Linked DNA regions of Callithrix jacchus. The main gene of each other region encodes a partner of the protein of the gene in region 2 in a complex. Links are inferred from orthologs where the notes say so. Each region holds a gene or a part of one and is shown on either strand. Other genes may lie near its edges. The genes, in order: KREMEN1 and DKK1.

The links.
Region 1: the proteins of DKK1 (region 2) and KREMEN1 are in contact, whole or in part, in a crystal structure (PDB 5FWW), measured with the Homo sapiens proteins. The link is inferred for Callithrix jacchus from reciprocal best matches to the Homo sapiens genes DKK1 and KREMEN1. Residues at the interface, in NP_036374.1 of Homo sapiens: Cys189, Leu190, Arg191, Ser192, Ser193, Cys201, Arg203, Trp206, Ser207, Lys208, Lys222, His223, Arg224, Arg225, Lys226, Gly227, His229, Gly230, Leu231, His261; in XP_011528731.1 of Homo sapiens: Pro67, Asn88, Asp90, Asp92, Ser94, Trp96, Gly105, Val106, Tyr107, Trp108, Tyr110, Asp127, His128, Gly129, Pro132, Thr140, Asn142, Glu164, Ser165, Tyr167, Ala168, Phe170, Asn189, Val191, Phe193, His196, Asp203, Gly204.

What each region holds. Positions count from the first base shown.
Region 1 is NC_133502.1:199,743,272-199,747,840, reverse strand, and holds the start of KREMEN1 (kremen protein 1), read right to left. Parts: upstream 2,868-4,569; 5' UTR 2,772-2,867; coding exon 2,675-2,771; intron 1-2,674. UniProt on the Homo sapiens protein: Receptor for Dickkopf proteins. Cooperates with DKK1/2 to inhibit Wnt/beta-catenin signaling by promoting the endocytosis of Wnt receptors LRP5 and LRP6.
Region 2 is NC_133513.1:77,884,931-77,889,244, forward strand, and holds the start of DKK1 (dickkopf-related protein 1 precursor), read right to left. Parts: upstream 3,064-4,314; 5' UTR 2,884-3,063; coding exon 2,641-2,883; intron 2,403-2,640; coding exon 2,240-2,402; intron 1,027-2,239; coding exon 886-1,026; intron 770-885; coding exon 516-769; 3' UTR 1-515. UniProt on the Homo sapiens protein: Antagonizes canonical Wnt signaling by inhibiting LRP5/6 interaction with Wnt and by forming a ternary complex with the transmembrane protein KREMEN that promotes internalization of LRP5/6.

The DNA.
Region 1 (4,569 bases), on a different chromosome or scaffold from region 2:
AAGGAAGATCATTTGGGGTTGGCTACACATTGTAATTAGAAGTAGGCTTGATGGGGAATGAGCTAACTGTTTTTATAAAGTCAGCATTCAAAAATGCAAACCACCAGTAATTTAAATATTACAAAATTGTACAGAACATAAATATTGAAATAATTTTTTCCATCCACAATATTTTAGAGAAAATTACAGTATCAAAAAATATAAAATGGCAAGCTTGGCATATCTTCAGAGTAAAATGTGTGTGTGTGTGTGTGTGTGTGTGTGTGTGTGTGTGTGTGTGTGTGTGTTTTATTGGAAAGGATTTTAAAAGCTAGTGGGTAGGATCTAGACAGGATATGTTGCTGAAGACCATGTGGTATCTCCCTAAAACTGCTTCTGCAACTAAACAGGAAAAGTAAAAACAAAAAAACGCTGATTTACCAGGATGGTAAGACACCAAGCTGGCAAGGCTCACGGAACTGGGAACTTGGACCACTTATCACGAATCATTTCACGATGGTTATTTGCCCCAACCCCAGACTCTTATAAAAGCACACCAAGATTTGGGGTGCAAACTTCCTAAGAGCTGCTGCATTTGACCTTAAAAAAGCAAAGATACTTGGGAAAAGAATACCTTCCAACAAGCATGAGCAGAGTTGGCTCACTTGATGCTTTTCAGAGCTATGACTCTGCCCTTTCCAGAAGGGGAAGCAGTCTATTTCCACCCATACATTTCTCTTTGTAGGGGACATTAAATCCTGACCACACAGATAGCAAAGTTGAGCTAAGGGGTTACTAGGTTACAGTTATGTTGACATATCCTGGCTCTCGGAATGTCCCTCACTCCTCACAACAGTGGAAATGATCATATTGTAGAAGTCCCATAAAAGGTGGTGATCACTCAGAAACCACTTACTGAGCCTCAGGTTTACAACACTTGAAGACCCCAGTTCTACCAATTTAAAGCCAAGCTTTGCCTTTTACAGAAATTAATCATTCCCAGGGTAAATGAGGTGTCTAGCACTTGATGAACTGTGAGGCCCTATAAAAGTATTATTGAAATACGTTTATTGACTGCCTCCTATATGTGGGTCTGTTACCTACAGTGTATCATTTAATCTTCACAACACTCTGCAAAGAAGTTATCATCCTCTTTACAGATGAGGAAACTGAGGCTCAGAGAGCTGAAGGCATGGCTCAAGGTCACGCAGTGACAACACCAAGTCCTAGCTTTTTCACTAATCCAAGCAAATGAGTAAACAAGGCAACTGAGTTTTCTTACACAAGCAAAATCTCATCTTTTCAACATCAGTCTGCGACGTTGGGTGGAGAACCCAGAGGCGGGTTTGCCTACTCCCGCAGAGGGGTAATAAACTCTTCTCATCCCTTTCACAAACGTCCTATACTCAACACCCAAACAACCTGCAGAGAAATGTAACCGCGCCAAGCAACGCCCTCTTGCCTTCTCTTCAACTTAGAAAGGATTCGGCTACAAGGTTGTGTGTGGAAGTTAAGTGAAGTTCAAGCTTCATCCAGGTCCAGGGCCCCACCTCAGAAAGACCTGGCCTTGGGCTTGGCCTGGGCAGTGAGTGGCCTGTTTAAGGCATGGGGTAACCCGAAACACGGAGCTCGGAGCTGCACCCTCAGGAAGAGCACCCTAAGCTCAGTAGGGGAGAAGTTTCCAATCACCCCTTCCTTTCTTCCTCTCCCCCTGCTGAGCCATCACCTGAGTCTTACGGACGTTCAAAGCGGCCCAGAGGACAGAGGGCACGTCTCGTCCCGTCTGGGTACAGGGTGGTCCCAGGACCCTAACCTGCCTTTAGCAGGGCGAGCAAGTCAATCCCGTTCCTCGTGAGGCAGAAGTTACAATGTCCGCCCAAGCGGGTGCAGCTGAGGACTCGGGAAAAGGAGCTGAGCGCCGGCTCCTCCCGCCTCCACTCGGCTCGACGCGGGGAGGCGCCGGGTTCCACCGGTGTAGGAGGGAGGAGAGAACGGGGGGATGCGGGGGTGTCGTAGTGAGGCTCGGGGAGGGGACCCTGGCCCGGGGTAGGGATGCCGCTGAGGGTCTTGGTGACGGGGATGTAGCCTCTTGTAGCCGGGGAGCCAACCCGGTGTAAGGTGCCTCGATGGGGGACTTGGGGATGGGATCCCAGGAGGTACGGGGAGCAGGGGGCATCCTGGCCCGGGGGAAGTCGCTGGGGTTTGGGGCGGGATCCCAGGAGGTACCGGGGAGCAGGGGGCGTCCTGGCCCGGGCGGAGTCGCTGAGGGGTTTGGGGCGGGATCCCAGGAGGTACCGGGGAGAGGAGGCGTCCCGGCCTGGTTGGTGTCGCTGAGGGACTCGGGCAGCGCGTCCCGAGTCCCGAGACAGAGGAGATGTCCCAGACCAGGGGGCGTCGCGGAGGGGCTTGGAGGTCTCAAGGCGGAGAGGGCGTCCTGGGCTGAGGGTCGTCGCTGAGGAACACCGGGTCCTGCAGCCGGGGGAAGGCACCGGGCCCGGGGGCGTCGCTGAGGGGCCTGGGGGGGAAAACGGGTCCCAGGGAAGGACCGTCCAGGCCTGAGGGGCGTCGCCAAGGGGCTCGGGGAAGGGGCCAGGAAGGTCCTGAGGCGAGAGGGGGGCCCCCAGGCCGGCCAGCCCTGGTCGCTCCTCGAGTGGGCTCCGCGCAGGGCGGGCGGCTGGGGGTCGCTCACACTCACCGGGTCCGGGGCCGAGGCCGGGGTTGGGCGCGGGCCGGGCCGCCAGCGTGAGCGCCGCGGCGGAGAGCAGGGCGAGGCGAGCGGCGGGCGGCGCCATGGGCCGTCAGTGCGGGGCCCCGGGGCGCGGCCCGGGGGAAAGGGGGCAGCACGGGGAGCCGGGGGCGGCCATGGGAGCGGGACACGGGGTCCGAGTGTGGCCCCGCCCCGGCTGCCCAGCGGCCCCGCCCCGGCCCGCCCCGGCCCGCCCCGCTCAGCGCCGCCACCGCCCCTGCAGCCTGGGGCCCGCCAGGCTCCGCGGAGAGGCCCAGGGGGCGGAACCCACTGCGCACGCACGCCCCGCCCCGGCCTCTCGCCGCTCCTGCCACTCACGCATCAGGCCCCGCCCACCTTTCACCCACACCTGGGCCCGCCCCGCAGGGCGCTCTGTTTGTCCCATCCAGGGGTAGGATCAGCAGGTGCGGGGCGGGGCCTCGGCCGGGCCTCGGAGTCACCCAGCTGTTTGGCGGGGCTGAAATAGGCCGGGCTCCCAGTGACCCCTGCTCCACCCTCACTCGGGTCGTGACCCGCGCGTGGGCTCAGCTACAGCGGTAATAATTAGAACAGAAGTTTGCAAACTGTTTTCCCTTGATTAGCTCGTCGTAATGATTAAAAAGGAATGCTTTGGAGAGTTCACATCCCACTTGGTCACCTGTAAGACCTTGGGCAGGTTTAAAGGAAAAATAGCTTTTACCTCAATTTCCTCATCTGTTAAATGAAGGTGATAATAGCTACTACTCCCCAGAGCGGTTGCACTAAATAAGAATGCCTGGAGCCCGGCGCGGTGACTAACTCCTATGATCCCAGCACTTTGAGAGGCTGAGATGGAAGAGTCGCTTGAGCCAGGAGTTCGAGACCAACCTGGGGAAGAGAGCGAGACCCCCCCCCCATCTCTACAGGAAAATAAACAACAAACACCAATCAGTGGTCCCAGCTACTCAGGAGGCTGAGGCAGAAGGATCGCTTGAGCCTGGGAGGTCCGTGTTGCAGTGAGCCTTGTTCTCTCCACTGCAGTAAGACAGAGCAAGACCGGCGGGGCGGGTCTTTAAAAAGAAAAAGAAAAAATGAAAGCTCGGAAACTTTTACGCACGCACAGTAGGAGCTTAGCAAATGCTGAAATCCTTTCTCCACCCCCAAGTTTGCAGTCACATACTGACCCCTCGTTCCGTATCCCCTCACACAGCCAGCGCCAACTAGGGTAAGTTTCCTGATCTGAGGCTCGGTAGTTTGCAGAATAGGAATAATAAAAGGCCTCAGAGGGTTCGATGAGATAGAAGCAAGTACGACGCCCAACGCAAAGTCCAGAAATGGACCGGACAGGGCTGCTTATTCTGCAGCCTGGGATGTCAGGGATGCGGGAGCTCGTGGCTTGATTAAACTTTCGTCCCCCGCTTGGTAGGCCCTTTGCCCACCCCACCCCCGCCCCACCCCGGCAAGGTCTTCCCCTGACGCACCCGGGGTCGGTAGTGGGCCGCGCTCCTCCCCTGCACTCCCCCCAGGCAGAGGGGATTTTCCTACGACTCCCGCCTAAAGCGCGGCGGTGGCGCCCGGCGGGGCAGGTCCGGGCAGCGTGCCGGGCGCTTTCAAGTCCCTGGTCCCGGGCTTGCAAGTGCAGACCTGCGCCCGGCGCGGCGGCAGGAAAATCTGCCCCAGTGTGCAGACTCGCCGCACCCAGAACGCTGCTGGGCGGGACCGGCCCCGCGGGCTCCCCCGCCTGCCTTGGGTACACTCGTCCCTGAGCCCTCTCAACCCCCGGGCGCCGCCCCCTCGCCCACTCCCAGAGCCCTTGTCCCCCAAACTCCTTTCCCCACCCACGGCTGCTCGCAGAGCCGGGCCCCAAGGGCGCAGCTACCTCCCAC
Region 2 (4,314 bases):
TTAAGCATTAAGATAGTACATTTCAGAAAATATGCTAGTATTTTCTTGTTAAATTTTAGATACTATCATTTGTCATTCCAAGAGATCCTTGCATTCTAGACTCTAGAATTAAAAGGGGGAAAAGGTTATGCTTTTAAGAACTATAAGCTGAAATGATTTATTTCAATTCAATATAGAATATTTGTCAGTCAAGATATCAATCAATGTGTACAAAAATTTACATAACAGAAGGAATAATGGGCAGTGCAGCACCTTTAGAAAAATAATTAAAAGTTTTGTTGCATTTACAGGTAAGTGCCACACTGAGAATTTACAATACAGTAATTTACTGCAATCACAGGGGAGTTCCATAAAGAAACAAAGCTCTTACACTCCAGATTTTTGAAAGGTGTTATTGGAATGCTTAACTGAAACCACAGAACTTGTATATCCGTAGGATTGAGTTGATGAAGGTCGTGAAAGATTTTCGTATCATCTATTATATAAAAGGAGTTCACTGCACTTGGATAGCCGATTTAGTGTCTCTGACAAGTGTGAAGCCTAGAAGAATTACTGGCTTGATGGTGATCTTTCTGATTCCGGCAAGACAGACCTTCTCCGCAGTAACAGCGTTGGAATATTTCCAGCCCATGGGAGCCTTTTCGTCTGTGTTTGGTACACACTTGACCTTCTTTGAGGACAGGTTTACAGATCTTGGACCAGAAGTGTCTAGCACAACACAATCCTGTGGCGCAGTCTGACGATCGGAGACAGACAGAACCTTCTTGTCCTACACAGGAGAAGACAGCAGAAAAAAAGTACACAGTTACTGGTAAACCTGCATCATTTCATTAAATAATTCAAAAGACACCTCTGATGTGCTAAAAATGAGTCTTAACATCTTACCTTTGGTGTGATACATTTTTGAAGACAATGTAGTTCTTCTAGAATATCCATCCAAGGTGCTATGATCATTACCAAAGCTTTCAGTGATGGTTTCCTCAATTTCCTCTCGGAAATGAGTTTGCTCAGAAGACACACATATTCCTAAGGAAGCAGGAAATAGTGATTAACTTCAGGGTTGTAATGCATTACTGCTAACAGCTCTGACAGTGGCAGTCTGCTATGCCAGCACCAACTTGAGATACTTCGTTGCAGTGACATCATTTTAAAAACAAGCCGAACTTCCTCTCTACTGTTAAGGCAAAGCTCTCCAGATGGACAGAAGCACCAATGTGTACACTGTATCCAGTCAGTCATATGTTACATACCTAGTATAGCCGTTCAAAATACTTTCCCACCAACTGTGGTAGGGGCAAGTGAGATTTATGCCCATTTTAATATTACCCTTGGGTTAAGAAATAGAAAATCAGTCACTTAAAAAATGTTCTTAAAAATAACTTCTCTCCCCCTGGTGCTATGTGGGTACTGCCAGACTAAGTTAAGCAAATGCAATTCCAGCTGCCTGGAACATTGCAGTCTCACCCACCAGTTACTTTACTGTGTAATTTCTATATTACAGAGATTCAGTTAGCTCATCCCGGAGTACTGCTGGGTCCTAAGGAGGGCCGTCGCCCTGTTAGTTTATTTCGGGAGACCTCTTTAGCTGTTTAAATCCACCTCTTTGAAAAACTAAGAGTCAGTGGATCTGTGGTTGGGGGAAGAGTACCTATACTAAGGCAGCAGAGGGGAGAGGGAGGGGGAAGGATGGAGAGGTCAGGCTGTGCGCCTATCAAGATCTCTCTTGAAAACGGCCAATGCTGATAAATCACTGTCCTCTGGCCGACAACAGTTTCACCAAGGATCAGAAGGAGAGGCCAGTCTGGCAGAGCTGTGAGAGACAGAGTAAGAAAAATGGAAAGGGCAGCTGAACGCCAAAGCTGGTTTCTTTGGTCTCTCTGTATGATCCAGCCGTCCTACCCATCACCCCTCTTCTCAATTGACCTCAAGGTTCTCCCCAGACACATTTTTATGGAAGCGTCCACTACGAGGTAAGCCATTGTGTTAAATCATTGAGGGACCCAGAGGAAGATAAGGACCTCAGAGACCTCCGAACTTCTCTCTCCTTCCCGATCAAACACTTGCAATGAAGAAGATAACTTCAGCTGAATCTTGACTGCTGTACACCCATTAGCAGGTGGCGCCGCAGTGTTCTCAGGGCGGAGATTCCCCGCGCCTCCCCCCTCCCCCCCACCAACCCCATTTATAGAGGCTCAAAGGCCGGGCAGTTTTCGTGTGAAAGGGAGCTTTCAGAACTCACCATTTTTGCAGAAATTCCCGGGGCAGCACATAGCGTGACGCATGCAGCGTTTTCGGCGCTTCCTGCAGGCGAGACAGATTTGCACGCCCGCGTCCCCTCCGCGGGTGGGACTAGCGCAGTACTCATCGGTGGCGCACTCCTCGTCCTCTCCGCACGGGTATGGCTGTGGGAAGGGTTCGGGGAGAGGGTGAGGCATCCAGACGTTCAGGTACCCTCACTAGTGGACCTGATCACAGTCCCTATCTGTCCCCCTCTCCAGGACCTGTTACCATCCACGGCTCCCAAATGCAGTGTTACCAAATGCTCGCTGAAACGCACACACTCATCACGTTCTACTCCCTCCTCTCCAGATACGACCCTTTCAAGGTCACAGCATCCCCGGATTCCCCGACGCCTCTCACCTGGTAGTTGTCAATGGTCTGGTACTTATTCCCGCCAGGGTACAGAATTCCCGGCGCGGCGCTGACTGCAGAGCCCGAGTGCCCCGCAGCGCCGCCCAGCGGTGGGGGCAGGTTCTTGATGGCGTTGGAATTGAGAACCGAGTTCAAGGTGGCGCTCGCTCCCAGCAGAGGGTGGCCGCCGAGAGCCGCCGCTACCAGCGCAACCAAGACCCGGGCAGCTCCCGCTGCGCCCAGAGCCATCATCTCAGAAGGACTCAAGAGGGAGAAAGAGAAAATGACTGTCACTTTGCAAGCCTGGGTCCCCGCGAAACCGTGTCGGTGCGGCTGCACAGTCAGGGTTCCGGGAGCCCCCTGCGGTCCCAGAGTCCCGACTGCAGGGAGCACAGAGCTCTGAGCCGCCACCGCCACCGCGGCTGCCTTTATACCGCCGGCCCGGAGCATTCCGGCCCCTTGGGAGCGAGACAACAAAGCCGGGATGGGATTTCAAAGCGCTGGGAGGGGCTGGGAGGGGGTGTGTTTGTGTACATGAAGGGGGGGCTTTGACACTCTTCACCCACCGCCCTTGCTGGGTCGCTCGGCCCGCCCGGCTCACCTTCGGGGTGAGGGCGACCAGCGAGCATCAGAGCAGACGACTTTAATAAATGCAGGCGGCAGGAGGAACTCTGAGAACAGGGGTGCCCTTGCCTGGCGGTAAGGGTTGGATTATCCGGATCTGAAATACTTTTCAGAGCCGAGGGGGTGACACGCTCTGCAAAAGCACTTTTCGCCCCTCTCGCTTACGCCAACACTCGCTGACTGTGCACACAAGTCGTATTCAGTATTAAATACAAACCGATCTGTAATTCAGTGGCTCTAGCAAGACGCCTCTTTGCTCATTACTCATTAACCCTTTAAGAGTCGCAGCTTGTAGATCTGAGTTAGGTCCCTGGCTTTAAGGTCGTTCCGTTGCCCTCCTCCTCCCTCCCCCCGCCACTGCGATAAAAATGTGCAAAGAGGAGATTTGCACATCAAACGAGGGTAAGAAGGAAGAGGAGCTGATTCTCTTTTGATGGGAAGTTTAGAGAGGGAGGCGAGAGACTGGCGTTTAGAAATTAGATCAAGGTTGGAGTGGAGAGGGAAATGCCCGTCCGATAATCAAACTATTTAATGTTGTTCTTTGAATCAGGGCAGTCGCGGCAGTAGATGAACTTGATTAGGCAGACGAGTGAGATCAAAGTGGCCGGGGCCAAAGCGGACGGGGTCCAACGTGCCGGGTCAGTCGCCTTTCTCGGGTTCTGCCTTCTCAGTGGTGGGCTAATGCGGGGAGATAAGAAACCCTTAGGGCTTAGATCCCGACTTCCTCATTAGCAAACGGTTTCACAAGGCTTCCCAACGCAGTGTTTGCTCCCAAGTCAAACCTTGCACAGGACCACGCAATACACCTTCTAGGGAGATAAACTACGTGGAGGAGGAGAGCTGAAAGTGAATTAGACAGTGAATCTGACGTCATTGAAATTGCTGTGTAGATAGAATAAAGTAAGGCTGATATATAAGAATGGCATCATGCTTATAAATGGAAAGTCATCTATTTAATTCAACAAAAACACATTGGAAGCCTAGAGCCCTGGTACTGGGTGGCCCTCTGGGTTGTTGCCTCATTGTTTTAATGTTTAGGTGAGATGGGTGGTGGGGGAA